Linked DNA regions of Mytilus edulis. The protein of the gene in region 1 interacts with the protein of each later gene in a biochemical or structural test. Links are inferred from orthologs where the notes say so. Each region holds a gene or a part of one and is shown in the gene's direction. Other genes may lie near its edges.

Evidence for each region.
Region 2: the proteins of RAD51-associated protein 1-like (region 1) and meiotic recombination protein DMC1/LIM15 homolog form a complex in vitro, tested with the Homo sapiens proteins (2 studies listed by BioGRID and IntAct). The link is inferred for Mytilus edulis from reciprocal best matches to the Homo sapiens genes RAD51AP1 and DMC1.

Annotation. Positions count from the first base shown.
Region 1 is NC_092350.1:13,501,474-13,509,294, reverse strand, and holds the start of RAD51-associated protein 1-like, read left to right. Parts: upstream 1-4,821; 5' UTR 4,822-4,902; coding exon 4,903-4,925; intron 4,926-7,821. UniProt on the Homo sapiens protein: Structure-specific DNA-binding protein involved in DNA repair by promoting RAD51-mediated homologous recombination.
Region 2 is NC_092352.1:86,755,298-86,762,862, reverse strand, and holds the start of meiotic recombination protein DMC1/LIM15 homolog, read left to right. Parts: upstream 1-4,547; 5' UTR 4,548-4,660; exon of another isoform or gene 4,661-4,702; intron 4,703-5,592; 5' UTR 5,593-5,600; coding exon 5,601-5,660; intron 5,661-6,311; coding exon 6,312-6,356; intron 6,357-7,103; coding exon 7,104-7,154; intron 7,155-7,298; coding exon 7,299-7,394; intron 7,395-7,565. Other genes in the region: NHP2-like protein 1, read right to left, coding at 613-716, 1,299-1,416, 4,413-4,415. UniProt on the Homo sapiens protein: Participates in meiotic recombination, specifically in homologous strand assimilation, which is required for the resolution of meiotic double-strand breaks.

The DNA of each region.
Region 1 (7,821 bases):
ATCAAAAAATCATGAAGGTAGCTCGGACTTTTTTGGTGAATTATTTTAAATGTTTCTATTGCAATTGTTTTTATTCTTCTTATTTTTAAAGATGGTAATTTAGATTTTTCTAGCAATTTTTCGTAAGGAATATCATAATCTTCATAAATGAATCTTAGAGCTCTTTCTTGAATTTTTTCCATTTTAAAAGAATTTTTTTCACTACAGTAGTGCCAAATTACTGGACAATAGTTAAAGTTCGAAAGTATGAATGAGTAGTATGCTGTTAACCTACCTAGCCTGTTTAAATATTTACCCATACGTTTTAGAATATTTAATTGTCTTGATGCCTTTTTACATATTTCAGAAATATGATTGTTAAAATTTAAGTCCGAATCTATAGTTATTCCAAGAAGTTTAACATTTTTTTCACAAGAAATTTTATTTCCATTTAAATTAAATATCAAATTATGTTTATTTGTTTTTTTCCCAATGGCTATAGCCTGGAATTTGTCAGGATTAGCCTTCATTAAATTTAAAGAAAACCAGTTTATTAGATTTAAACTATCAGTTTCTAAACTTTCAACAACTTTATCTAAATTATGATCACTGTATGATACAGTGTTTTCATCAGCATAATTATAAATGGTGCTTTTTTGAACAAAATGAAATATGTCATTTATGAAGACATTGAAAAGAACTGGACCAAGAATTGACCCTTGTGGTACGCCTTTAAAAATACGGTCCCATTCGCTGAAGAACTTCCAATTTTAATTCATTGTTTTCGGTTTTCTAAATAACTTTTTAATAATTTTTAGAGAATTTTTAGACAGACCGTATGCTTCTAATTTAAGTAAAAGTAAATCATGAGGTAAACAATCAAATGCTTTAGATAGATCCATCAAAATTGCAGCAATAAATTTGTTCTCGTCCAGAGCTTTTTTCCAGTCTTCTATTATTTTAATAAGTGCAGTTTGGCAACCAAAACCTGACCTAAATGCCGAAAGAAGAGGATGAAAATGTTTATTTAAGAATTCCATTTAATAGTTGGTCATGAATAGCTCTTTCATAAATTTTAGAAATACATGGCAACACACTTACAGGTCTATAATTTTCTTTATCAAGAGAGTTATTCTTTTTAAAAAGTGGGGAAACCTGAGCAGCTTTAAGATTATCAGGAAAAATTGAGCTTTCAATTGATTTATTAACTAAAATTTTAATAGGATTTGCTATTACTGGCTGTGCCAATTTTATAATTTTTGGTGAAATATTGTCATATCCAGTGGCTTTTCTTATATTTAACCTATTTATTTGTTTACTCACAAACTCTTCTGCTACAGGTTTAAAATTCAACTCATTATAATCATTTTTATTTTCTTCAATTTTTATTATACTTGGATGATTTCTGTCTATTTTAATGTTTTTGTCTCCTATATCTTTAGCCACATTTATGAAAAATTTATTGAAAATTTCTGATACCTCTTTAGGATCACTGAGAATTTTATCATTTTCATATAAAATTATGTTATTGTTTGATTTAATATTTTAAAATTATAAATTGTATCCTTCAACTTTAGAAAATGACTGAATACACCACTGCAAATATGGCTAACATTTTGAGGAATAAATGCAGAAATCTTTAGACCTAAGAAGCTAAGACACATCTTCACTTTAATGGCTTGGGTAACATTATCAAGTAGTTTTAGCTACATGTATGGGTCCATCCAATTAACTTTATTTCATCCCCATTTTGTCTTGGGCTTATATATAAAATTCTTACCATTTTTTCTGACTCATTATCCATTATTGATTAAATGAATATTATCAAATCTACATAAAAATCTGAAAAATAAAAAAAATGATTTTTAGGAAGTGGAATGATACTCAGAATTGCATGTCTTTCCTGCTTTTGTAGAATAAATTTGATGTACTGCCTTATACATTTACGTTTATTTTACATATGAGACATAAAAAATGTCCTTTAAAAAAAAGGTGACAAATTGTCTTCATCAGGTGTCCAGAATATATCCCATGCATGATTAAGATTAGATTACTATAATGAACCCAACAGACAACTCCCCACTAGAGACTAAATGACATAGATGTTAACATTATAGGTCACCATACAGCCTTAACAGCGGTCAACAATCAGCAAAGCCCATACTGCATAGACTTGAATGAAATACTAATACAATATACAACAGCAAAAGACAACCACTGAAAAGACAACTTGTGATCTGAGTTTGTGGCAATTCTCTAAAAAAAAATTGGTTTTAATGAACATCAATCATGCATTCAGCAGCTTTGCCATTTCTTTCCCATGTTGAGCAAGTGATTGAAAAATATGATGCTTTTTTTTAAATACATTGCACCAATCATTCTATAATTTTAATTTATTGTATAGCAATATAATATTTCCAACAGAAAGTAACCAAAAGTTAGCATGCAATAAATTCTAATATTGCACTAGTGCAATAAATATTCAAAATTCATGACGTCATCAATGACAAAATCTTAGTTTAAACCAATTTTTCCTTTCAAATATTATATTGCTATACAATAAAAGGGTTATTGCATGAATATTGGGGAATATTGTCCCTCGTAGAACATATATTGCACTCGCAAGCTCGTGCAATATAAAATTCTACTCGGGACAATATTCCCCAATATTCATGCAATAACCCTATATTATTATAATTGATAATCCGCACTGCTGTCAATAGGAAACTATGATACAGAACATATGTTATTTCTAGTTTATCCTGCATAATGACGATCACAAATATGCTTGATGAAATTTAATAGTGCAGGGATTCAGGCAATGCCCTCTTTCTAGGAAATAATGTCATGAAGCACAAGTTTTTCTGGTGAGGGACATTACTTAAAAGTAGCCTATTACAGGCTCCTTACTTGGGACAGGCACACACAGAGTATGACAGGGTTAGGAGGTGCACAACCCTCCATTGTTATCTTTAACATATAGAAGTTAATTATGAAGTATTATGTACCTCATACTAGATGATTGATTTCCATGTCTGAGGCCCCTGTAACATCATTCAATTGTTATCATGTAGTTAATACTTATGCATAGGTGACTTCGTTACCTTCCTCATCCTTGTAACTTCCCTTATTTATATAAAAAAAAAATTAAAAAAAACTCAACTGTGGTTGTTATTACAGCCCCAAGTTTTTACTTTGGTCTTGGTACCAGAGATGTGAGAAGAAGGGTAAATTGATGAAAACTCTCGCAACGAGGGTCAGAATGGAACCAGGGACTATCTGCTTTGACTGCTGTGTCAGTGTGTGAATAAGTTCTGTCTTCTACTTCAATGTAAATCAATCCAATGTCCAAGTTGTCTCATATCTTTGGGCCTAACACCCCTCAGATATGAGAAGCCTACATGTACATCTTATACATGTGACATTTCACATTCAACCACATAATACGTAACATAATACGTAACATAATACGTAACATGCAAGCGCATGTACTTGTATGCAAACAGTCATTCTTCATATATATAGAAGAGGATTTAATAGACCACTTTCGAGTTCATCCGTCACCGGAAAAAACTCGTCAATTATACGCCCTTTTATCACCGTCATTTGTGCGTTTTGGGGCGTCGTCACTTCCCTTCCAATGTTGAGCGAGTGGTTGGAAAACTATAATTCTATATTATACGAATTATTCGGCAAATTGAATTCTCAAAATTGACAATCAACACTGCTGTCATTAGGGAATTGTCAGTAAGTACCTACAGAGCAACCATTATTTCTAGTTTATCCTGCACAAAGACGATCACTAAGACGCTTGATGAACGTAAATAGTGCAGGGATACAGGCGACCCCCTCTATCTGGTAAATGACGTCATAAAGGCGTGCATAATTGACGAGTTTTTGCCGGTGACGGATGAACTCGAAAGTGGTCTATTGGATCCTATTACAATGCATTCCACTTTTTCAATTTAAACACTTCTCGTGTTTTGACAGTATACTAATAATATATACAAGCTTATATGATGGGGGGAGGGTCGGAGGGGTACTGATCCTGAAATTTCTGGTTTGAAAACATGAAATATCGAGGTCCTTAATTTAAAGAAATTTAAATCCAGACATCCTGAAATTCAAAAAGAGAATTCTCAGATCCTGATCCCGATCTTAAAAACACCGAAATGGTCGGCTCAGTGGCAGATCAAGGGGGGGGGGGGGGGGGTTTCCGGGGGTTGGAACCCCTTTTTTTTTTGGTCGATCAATGCATTTGAATGGGAGCATATAGTTGGAACCCCCCTTTTAAAATGGCTGGATCCGCCACTGCTGCCCCTCTGATATGAAGACGATATCCACATTCTTTTGGCTTTACACATCACGCCTCCATGTTATACCATCGCACTGTTGTTGTATCGGATCATTGGACTAATGGACCGACGGAATATCGGACTGACAGACTACTTAACTGTCGGAATTTCGGGGTATCACTTCTCGCTCAGACACAGATCCGCCCCCTCCTTTTTTGCTTTACCAACCCCCTTTTTGTTTTTATAAATTATACACACCTTTATAAAGTTAAAGTGAGGAAACTATTGTCTGTTGGAGTTGTTAATACAGACTTATACTTTGGCCGTTTTCTGACTTTTCAGAACTGCCTAAATAATCAGTGGACATCTAATTTTCGATCTTCTAAACAAAGTTTGCCCACGTCCGAGTGTTTAACCCGGATTCGAAAATATCAAAAATTTAATTGCAAAGAAAATGTTAGTATAAACAGTCCAAAAAATAACCAATTATTTTTAAAAACTATTTTTTATTTCAATCAAACAAAAAATAGTAATCATTTACAATTTTGTAATTCGAAACAGTGATTCATTTCAAGTTCCGGCGTATGAGGAGGGAAATTGAAATATTTATAAACATTGAAAATGCAAAATGTCAGATAGAAGACCTGCGAGGTTAATATACGATAATTAGTGTGAGAGGAGTTTAACCAATAAAAGGGACGAATTCTGTAATAGTAGCTATTTCAAAGGGTGTTGCTTAATTATTTTTCATCATAACCGAATTTTTATCTGTTTACTTTACAGTTACGGGTTACACTAATGTCCTGACAATGTCCTGACAATGTCCTGACAAAGTCCTGACAGAAATGTAAATGCTTAATACTTTTTTGTTATTGGAAGGATTTACTTGAAATTTGGAATCAAGCAAGATGAGAACTTGTATTTAATAAATAAAATTAAAAAAATTAAAAAAAAATAATTTAAGACTTAGAAAACTTGACCTGACCAACTTGACTTAGAAAATACTATTGTCCTGACCGATATGAAACGGCTAAAAAATAATTTATTATTGACAGGATAGACTTCAAATTCGATACCAAGGAAGATTAAATCATTTATTACAAAAATATCAGGAAAAAAAAGAAAAAAAATTTTTTTAAGAGTTAGAAAACTTGACCTGACCAACTACACCTTTGCCGTGACTCATGTCCGGATCGATATAAAAATGATTCTATCTATTTTGTTATTGTAATGAATGAATTCAAATTGAGTAGTTAAGAAGTTTGCAACATTTAACAAAGAAATCAAAAGAAATAAAAAGAAAAAAAATGTTGAAAAGACCAAAAAACTTGACCTGACCAACATAGGCTATTCACCGAAAAAAGGCATGTATCTTTAAAAAATAGAATGACTATGTTAATTACTTAAATAAATGTCTTTAAGTTTGAAAACTATCATTATCTTATTAAATTTTTAAATGACTAAAAGAAAAAAGTTAACAATTATTGCAAGGGTAAATAATATTGACCTGACCACTGTAGGACTTGATAAATTTTCTAACATGTTAACCTCTTACCTTAAATTAGTGAAATTAAAATATCCGATCACAATAATATGAAAAACAACATTGAACACGAAAGATACAGTTAAAATGAATGAAAGAAAAATGTTAGGCCCAGTTGCAGTTGCTGAATGTGAGTATTGTTTATTCATGTTAACATTCTCTTATTGCTCTATTAGTCAATCTGATTAGGGGCTTGTGATGATAAGATTAATCACTTATTTGTTAATCCAATTAATTAATTATGAACTTGAACTTGTGTGTTAATTTATTGTATTTCTTTGTGATTCCAATATAATATTAATGTATATGCTTGTATACACATCCTTTTCAAACAAAACGAAGCCCATTTCCTGCTTTTATATGACATGTATAATCACTCAATAACTAGATAAAACAAAAAATAACTTATTGATTGTAAAGAAAACATTTCAAATTGTGATTATAGTAATTAATATAGGTGTGTTTTAATTCTATTGATTATTGTCACCTTCCTTTGCCTTTATTTTAATACATTTTTTTTTAACTGAGTTATTGCACCAAGAAAGAAAAAAAAACTTTCAATTTACTTATTTATTAAAATCAATAGGTAGCTAATCACTATACATTTTTATAATTTTTAATTGAGTTTATTAATTCAATAATTAGTTTCATTATTCACTCTGAGTTATTAATCAAATTTATAATAAGAAGTAGATTTGTGAAACAAAGGGGTAAACAATACTCACAGTCACTCAGCAACTCATATTTCCCCTATCTTTTCATTTAACAAAATTTATTTGCTTTGGATGTTGTATTTTATGGATAGGAAATAAATAAATTCAATAACAATATAAGGTAAGAACTAATAATGTTGTTGTTTGTGTATTAAGTTTAAGGGGTTCAGTCTTTTTAAAGTATTTATTTCCATTGAAATATTTTATTTCCAATTTATTGGAACAAGTATAAAAATAAAAATGTTACAATTTGACTTAGTTTCAATTAAGCACTCAATCATACCAACAATGTTGCAAGTATTAGCACTTTCATATCGGTCAGGACATTTACTCACAACAAAGTCGATGTTCGTCAGGTCAAGTTTTCTTACCTCTTAAGTATTTTTCCCCCAATTCTTTTCAAATAAGTATTTACTCAATGTTACTTTCTTGTCTTGTGTCAAATATGAAGTCAATCCGACGGAATTTAAGAAATAAATTACCAGTTTTATATCGGTCAGGACATTAGTCACGGTTGGACGTGGTTGGTCAGGTCAAGTTTTCTAACTCTTAAAATTATTTTTTTTTTATTTTTTTTTTCTTATATTTTTGTAATAAATGATTTAATCTTCCTTAATATCGAATTTGAAGTCTATCCTGTCAATAATAAATTATTTTTTAGCCGTTTCATATCGGTCAGGACAATAGTATTTTCGAAGTCAAGTTGGTCAGGTCAAGTTTTCTAAGTCTTAAATTATTTATTTTTTTATTTTTTTATTTTATTTATTAAATACAAGTTCTCATCTTGCTTGATTCCAAATTTCAAGTAAATCCTTCCAATAACAAAAAAGTATTAAGCATTTACATTTCTGTCAGGACTTTGTCAGGACATTAGTGTAACCCTACAGTTACTCTGAAATTTTTTTCAACCACCTAGTCCTACATGAGTCCTACAGAACCATCATTAATTTTCCAATTTTGTCCAGAAAAAACGGAAATGTCCTATAAGTCTCAAGTGATCGAATGCTTCACTCAAGCAGGGCTTTCCATTGAAATTGAAGTAGAAGGCTCAATTAAAATTATAGGCGGCTGTAACATGCGTTCGGCGAAGCCGGACGGCCACCAAGCTGTAAGCTTGGTGCCTTACGGCAGGGGGTCTGGGGGCAGCTCAAGGCCCCCAGAAGCTCTGACATAAATAGAGCAAAATCCTGCATTCTCACAATCTCCTGGCACCTAATTTCATCTTTCAAATGACCATTATTTATGTATGAAATTAAAGAAAGAAAAAAAAAATCAAAGAAATTTCATTTTT
Region 2 (7,565 bases), on another chromosome or scaffold:
CCATCACTGTTTTGGGAAAATGTAAAACTTTTTGGGAGGAATTTTAAGTTTTTTTTTTTTAGTAATTGGGAATTTTCTCCAGGGGAAAAGGCAGAATTTCGGCTGTAATTTGAGGCAAACAATATCACTGACATGTGGCCAAGTCTGACTTTATACAAAAAATTGGAAAGCAATACTATCCATAATGGAAATTCTTAAACATTTTAAATGTACTTTTTTTCTTATGAAACACCCCCTACATTTATCCCTGCTCAGTTTAGTGGCTGAGATCATCATTTTCAATTGTTACTATTTGTACTGCATCATTCTTTAAGTGTCTGTAGTTAAATTCTTGTCTTTGGTTCATGTCTGTCAAATTGATCTTTCTTAAATTGTTTTGTTATAAATTAAAAAAGTTTTTTCTAGTGAATGTTTTGCACTTTCATGTATGGGCCTTTTCAACCAGACATTATATAGTATGGGGTGTTGTGGCAGGTTGTACGGTGGCCTACAATAATGTACATCCAATTCATTTGAATTTTGATATTTACAAATGTTATTGTCTAATTGGGAATCATAACTTATCTCCTTATTCATACAACACAATTGTACACAAGAAGATGTACTTTTTACCTTGTCTTCACACAGTAAAGGAAGATGTAACAAAATCTCCAAAGGTTCAGCATCTGCAGCCATCACAATAAACTCTGAAATTCCTCTGTTTAAGGTCTTTGTGGCTGTAAACAAATACAGTAAATTAAAACTAACTCAGCAAGGAAAATTTTGTCATCTATTTAAAGTATTCTTACCATTTTTTAGTTTGATAGTATTCTCACAGTATTGTTATAGTTGCCAATAGGCTTTGAAATTTTGATTGTACAAGTTATCAAGTTTATTCATGATCTTATTTGAATTTTCTATTTTTGCCAATCTATGCTTTTAATATAATTTCAGGCATTTAAAAAAGTACTATACGAGTATCAGATATGACATTTAGTCATTTAAAAAAAAAGACAATATCTTTTTATTTCATTCAAATTTTCTATACCATATTTGAAAAACAGAGATAGAGTTATCTCAGTTATACATGTATTTTTTTCACTTTTAAGCTAGATTTGAGTGTCTTTCAAATGGATACATGTGCACAAGTTTGTACATGTATAGCACATGAAAAATACCAAATACAATGCTTTGCATTTCTTTGTTCTTCATTTGTTTTCAGAATTTTTTCGAATGTTTTCATGAAGGAAGATGTATACAAACACAATAAGATTTGACCAATGGAAGGTTTAGATATTGGCTTTTATGATTGATTATACCTTCATTGGCTCCTTTCCTCAATTCTTTACAGCTGGCTGCCTTCTGTACCAAGTCCAATATTTTCTGAGTTAAGTTTGGATCAGCTAATGGATAAGCTTTAGGATTTACTTCTTCAGTCTGAAATAAAAATACAAATATATTAACATTAAGTAACAGATGCCATGTATGGCAGAAAAATGTTGAATTTATATTTATCTTTTATCCATTTTGCGCTTTCTTATTTAAGGTCTATAATAAGGATTTTTGAGTGTATGCCATGTGTATTCAATTCAAAATATTTTAGGCACTGGCTACGGTTACATGGAAATGTAACAATAATAAAAATATTATTGTTACATTGGAGACTAAATGCCGGAATTCAAAGTCGGATAAGGAACCGATTAATTACGAATGTAACAATAATTATTGAGGCTACGGTTACATTGCGTTATTGTTACATGAAAAACAGCAATGTACGCTCGATTTATTAAACTTAAATCTTCTATGGTTTAACGGTTGCCTTAATCTTGCATCTGTACGAAATAATACTTGTAATAATGATAAGTAATAAATATTATCGATTAACAAATGGTGTTTAAATTGGTCTTTTTAACGTATAAATGGTCACATTTGGTGTTTTAAAGATACTACTTTAGATAAGTAGTGCCAAAGGCGAAAATATAGTCCAATGATTTGTTGTTGAGAACTCGGGCTGAGAAAAGTGTTCACTTTAGTTTAAGTATTTAACTGCACACCTACTCGTATAACTGTCATTTTACTTTACACAATGGATGAAGAGATTCCTGTGACCAATTTTGTTTTGGGTGAACAATTTAAAACTTGGGATTCGTTTGAAACAAAACTGAAACAATATCAAGACACAAATTTCATTCAGCTATACAAACACAGTTCTAAAAAAAATGATTCATCTATAGCAAAGTTTGCTAACTGTGAAGTAAAATACTGTGAACTTCTGTATACATGTATCCACGGAGGACGTAATGTCGTTTCAAAATCAGATGGAGCTCGTCCAAACCAAAGGTAAGTTAAGTTTAACCTATAAACGAATATCAATGGGTCATTATATTCATGCGAGATTGCGTCGTTGGATTGCCCAAAAGTACGAAGAGAGTCATGCCGTTTCTTAAAAGACGACCAAAGGAAAAAGAAGAAGGTAAATAACTTTTTAAAAAAATGGACAGTTGATATACCCCCAGTTTTTGATAGGGTTCGTGTTTCTTAGTCTGTAGTTTTCCATGTTGTGTTTTTTTTACTTTTATTTGTATGTTTTGCCTTTTTACTTTTTAGCCATGGCGATGTCAGTTTGAATAATGGAAAATAATTCACTATTTATTAGTATTTGATGAACTTTTGACTTTTGACTTGCATTTTTATAATTTATTGTTTTTTTCAGCTATGCTAAGTTGGATACTGAAATCCGAGGTAAACCTTACATCCGTAATGGACGGCAATGTGACCATACTGAAAGATGACATAAAACTACATCACATGTTTCCAACCAAAATATTAGATGAGAATATAAACATTGCTAGAGTGAAAAAGTATTTCTCATCGGAAGCATGGCAAACATGAAAGGTTGCCTTATCATCAAAACGGGATATCGCAGAATGGAACTGTACAGTGTGTGATACGGACGTTCACAGTGCGGCATCACTGGTGTGTGATGGCTGCTTGGAGTGGTTTCACCAAAAATGTGTCGGACTTAGAAATGCTCCAAAAACCACTTACTGGATATGTAGAAAATGTCATTGCAAATAAATAATTAAAGAATTTATATTTAATAATTGTATTTATTAAATGATATGAGCAAATAAGCCCTAATACGGATAAATCAGCATGTGCAATACTAAAAACGTTCCACTGTCGATATAAATCAAGAGTTAATATTGCTCTTCGAACAGGGCCAATACAGAAAAAAGCGGGAAAAAAGTCGTATTAGCCCTAGGGCAATACAGGACGTTCACTTCCGGTTTTCAATTTTCTTACGCCATTACTTTACTCTTGAAGTATCGTTATGCATAAAAACATTTGTATAATAATTTTTAAATTAAAGTCATAAAATAAACAGGTTAAATGATGTGCAATGTTTTGTAATGTCTTAATGTTTTCAAACGGAAAAAACAGGGCAAATACAGAAAAAAGCGGGAAAAAAGCTGTATTGGCCCATGGGCTAATACGGGACGTTCACTTCCGGTTTTTAATTCTCTTATAATCATTTAATAAAAGTGTTATGAACTGGCTGTTTCTGTATTGGCACTGGTATAGATTCTCGGTCAGCTGTATTGGCCCTCGACCCTACAGGTCTCGAGGCCAATACAGCAAACCTTGAATCTATACCAGTGCCAATACAGAAACAGCCAGTTAATAACACTATAGTATTGTAAATATAAAATAAATGTCTTTTTTATTATCTTGTACATTTTAATAGACCCATCGTATATTGCTGTTTTTCGTGTAACAATAACGCAATGTAACCGTAGCCTCAGTAATTATTGTTACATTCGTAATTAATCGGTTCCTTACCCGACTTTGCGTTTCGGCATTTAGTCTCCAATGTAACAATAATATTATTATTATTGTTACATTTCCATGTAACCGTAGCCAGTGCCAATATTTTATTGTTCAAATATCAAATGTACATTTAAACAAAGGGATTGGACAAAAGGCAGTGCCTATACAAATCCTTTCCCATACAAGATGGATTGAATAACATGCATGATAGTATATAATTTTCTGATAAGTTAATAGATCATACCATGTGTATGCTGAGGTCATCATTCGAAAAGGCCTCAGGTATTAAAGATTGACATGTCATTGGTATTATTAAATTAATAATTAAATGAGCTACCTTTGTTATATCAAGCTTTATTGTTATTATTATATGGTTATGGACATTATACTTTGGGAACGCCAGTTAATAACTTTCTTTTTTTAATGCTACCTCTGAAAGAAAGTATACCATACGACCCCCCTTTTTTTTTATTAACAAATCATTTATCAATCTTTTCAAGGTTGAAATGCGCCTTTTGGTTGATGTTTTCTATTACAAATAAAATTTCAATTCAAGCATATTAAGGTTGTGACAAAAATACTATATTGTAAAGGTGTTTTACCATGATTGTTGTTCAAAATATTCCCTCGGCTGAAAGCTTCACTGGGCCTCGTGGTAATGTTTTCGTTTGTGCCTCGTGTTAAAAACCGGATGTTGATTTAACAATCGACGTATTTAAAGGGTTTATTGTTACGGACTTAAAATAAATATACAAACATTTTAAAGACGTCGATTATCTCGCACGTGTTAGCAGACGACAAGTTTTGTAGCAGAAAGAGCAAGTTGGTAACTGGCGTGCAGAAGAACTATGTAAGAAAGTTTATGACTGTTCTAGTTTTCCCATACTTCAAGGTTTTTGTAAATCTGAATAGTTGAGAGCTAAGCATCAACTTCATGAATAACCTTTTTTTAACCTAGTTTATATATTATTAAACACTGTGCTTGTCAAGTTGTTGTATTCTTCTACTTGTCTTAATAAATATTTTTTATAACATTGACATTGTGTCTTAATCATATAATTGAATCACTTGTGTAATCATTTGTATGTAATTAATGTTGATTGTTCTGCTCCTTGTGGGTGCTTTGATTAGCAATGAAATATATTTGACAGTGGCGGATCCAGAACTTGACCTAAGGGGGGCCCGCTAACTGACCTAAAAGGGGGGTGGCGATCCAGTCATGCTTCAGTGATTACCTATATAATCAACCAAATTTTTTCCACGAAAAGGGAGGGGGGGTGTGTGTTCCAACCACATGTCCTAATTCAAATGCATTGATCGTCCAAAAAAAAGGGGGGTTCCAACCCTCAACACACACCCTCGATCTGCCACTGCTTTGCATTGGCAAAAGCCAATTTTGTCTAGTATAGAACCATTCTACGATTGACAAAGGGAAGTAATTTTTGTGATTTGAGGCTATAGAATTTGTTTTGTTTGATAAATAAACATTAAAAATTTAAACAACACTAATTACAATGTTTTATATGAATTATCTCCCTTACATTGCTTTTAGATTATGTCTTACTTGATTTATTTCACTTGACTGGGCGGAGTTAAAACGGTGCGTTCATCATTGACCAGTCCATCTACTGATAGGTGTTTTGGAATAAACTCATCAATGAAGTGTCCAGTTTGGTCATTGTTAATTTGTTTGGTGACACTGATAGTGATTAGAAATCAATGATAATTATAACGCTGTAATTATTGAAGAGATTTTGAAAAAATCGAGATTTTTTTTTATAGAGAAAATCATGCAGCAGGAAGACCAGGTTGTTGAAGAAGAATTAGTTGTGAATGAAGATGATGAAGAGGTATGGCTCCTTGCATTGAGTAACAACTCTTTGAAATTAGTTTAACCATATTATTTACTCTCTCTGCAAACTCTAGTCCAGTCTCTTTATTTATTTTTATTGGAATAACAATAAACAAATATTAAAATATAATTTATGAGTTTTCCCTTGGAAAAAATGTGTTGGCTGCTACCGTACCTACATTTGTACAAATGATTTACATTTAAAATGTTTTGGTATAAGAAATTCCTAGTGTCACAATTGCTTGTGTCAAAAAATGAAATAGCAGGTGCACCACTTTAATTGTGGAGAATTTGTGCAAGTATAGTAGAAGTCTATTAATCTGTTTTCAAGGACATATTAACATAAAATGAGATGCAAATGATGACAAGGCAACGCTCACTCAGCTGATAGATGTGATCAGTATTTTTCACCTATAGACCTACAGTGATGTTACATTTATACATATTTGTTCTTATATATATAAGGAGTGCACTCTAATGGTTGAGCTGAAAATGTAGAGAAAATTCAAATCAACAGTACAGGTTATAACATGCCAGAAGACAGTTTCAATTAATATTATGTTCTTCAGCTTCCTATTTCTTTTAGAATGATAGCTAGTACGTCCCAGTTGAGGGGAGTGTTTATGTCGTTAATCATTTACTATTTCAGGAATCACTTTTCCAGGACATAGATCTTCTGCAGAATCATGGAATTGTAAGTCTTAACTGATATAAGTCATTTAATATAGAATAGTTGATATATATTATAGCTAGCACCATTTATCAAGGTTATAGTGCTTAAAAGGGGGATGGGCATCTTAATTGTTAACAACAGCTATAATCCAAATACTGTTAATTCAGGATGTTCCCAGTTGGAAAATGTATAGAAAAGTTTAAAGTTGCGTTTGTACAAGAACAATAATGTGTACTCTATTACAATATCAGAAATTTTATATGATTTTACATTCATCCTATAGTCAAAACATATTTAGATGGTCTCCAAACTAGTTTTGCTACTCTGAATTTCAAGAAGAGGTAATTTTTCTTATCTAGGTTCAAACTACATCTCAGTCTTTTTCTCTGACATGTGTACAAGTATTTTGTAATCACAAAAGACGATTGAGGTAGAAAGATTTTACTGCTGAGCACAGTTCAATGTTTGAAATGGATGTAAACAGTATAGGTGCCTTAGAAAATATGTTAGATTTTATATGGAGTTTTTTTTTTTATTATTCTCTGCTTTAGTAAAACAGATGAAGGAATGGAACCAATATATTCCAAACCTTTTTTCAATGTGAATTGTTAGAAAGGAAATTGGGGTATGCGTCAAAGAGACATCAACTCGCCCAAATTGCAAACCACAGCCCACAACCAACAATGGGTCTTCAAAGCAGCAAGGAAATCCCATCCAAACTTTGTGTCATTTATATTTGCATCATTTAATTATTTTTTTAATTTATAGAATGTAGCTGACATAAAGAAACTGAAGCAAGTGGGAATATGTACCATAAAGGCAAGTATTGTATAAACTTTAAGTACTACTTCGTTATTTATTATCAAATCTCAAACAATAGCAAGTGCATTATATTGTACCTTTTATCTCTTCATACTTTTTTGAAATTTTAACCATTAAATATGCAAAATTGTATTATTACAGGGAATCCAAATGACCACAAAGAAAAGACTTTGTGCTGTAAAAGGAATTTCTGAAGCAAAAATGGAAAAAATCAAAGAAGCTGCAAATAAGCTCTGTGTATGTATTAACCTACTGTCATCATCCTAATATATTTTCCCAAACTAGTTCTCCCTGTTTTAAGAATAAAATATATATAAGTAGGGAACATAGTTACACCAGAAAAAGATTAAAGTCTGGCATTAATTTTCAAAGGAGTGAGTTGGTCCAGTTGAAAAAGTCAAAAATTAG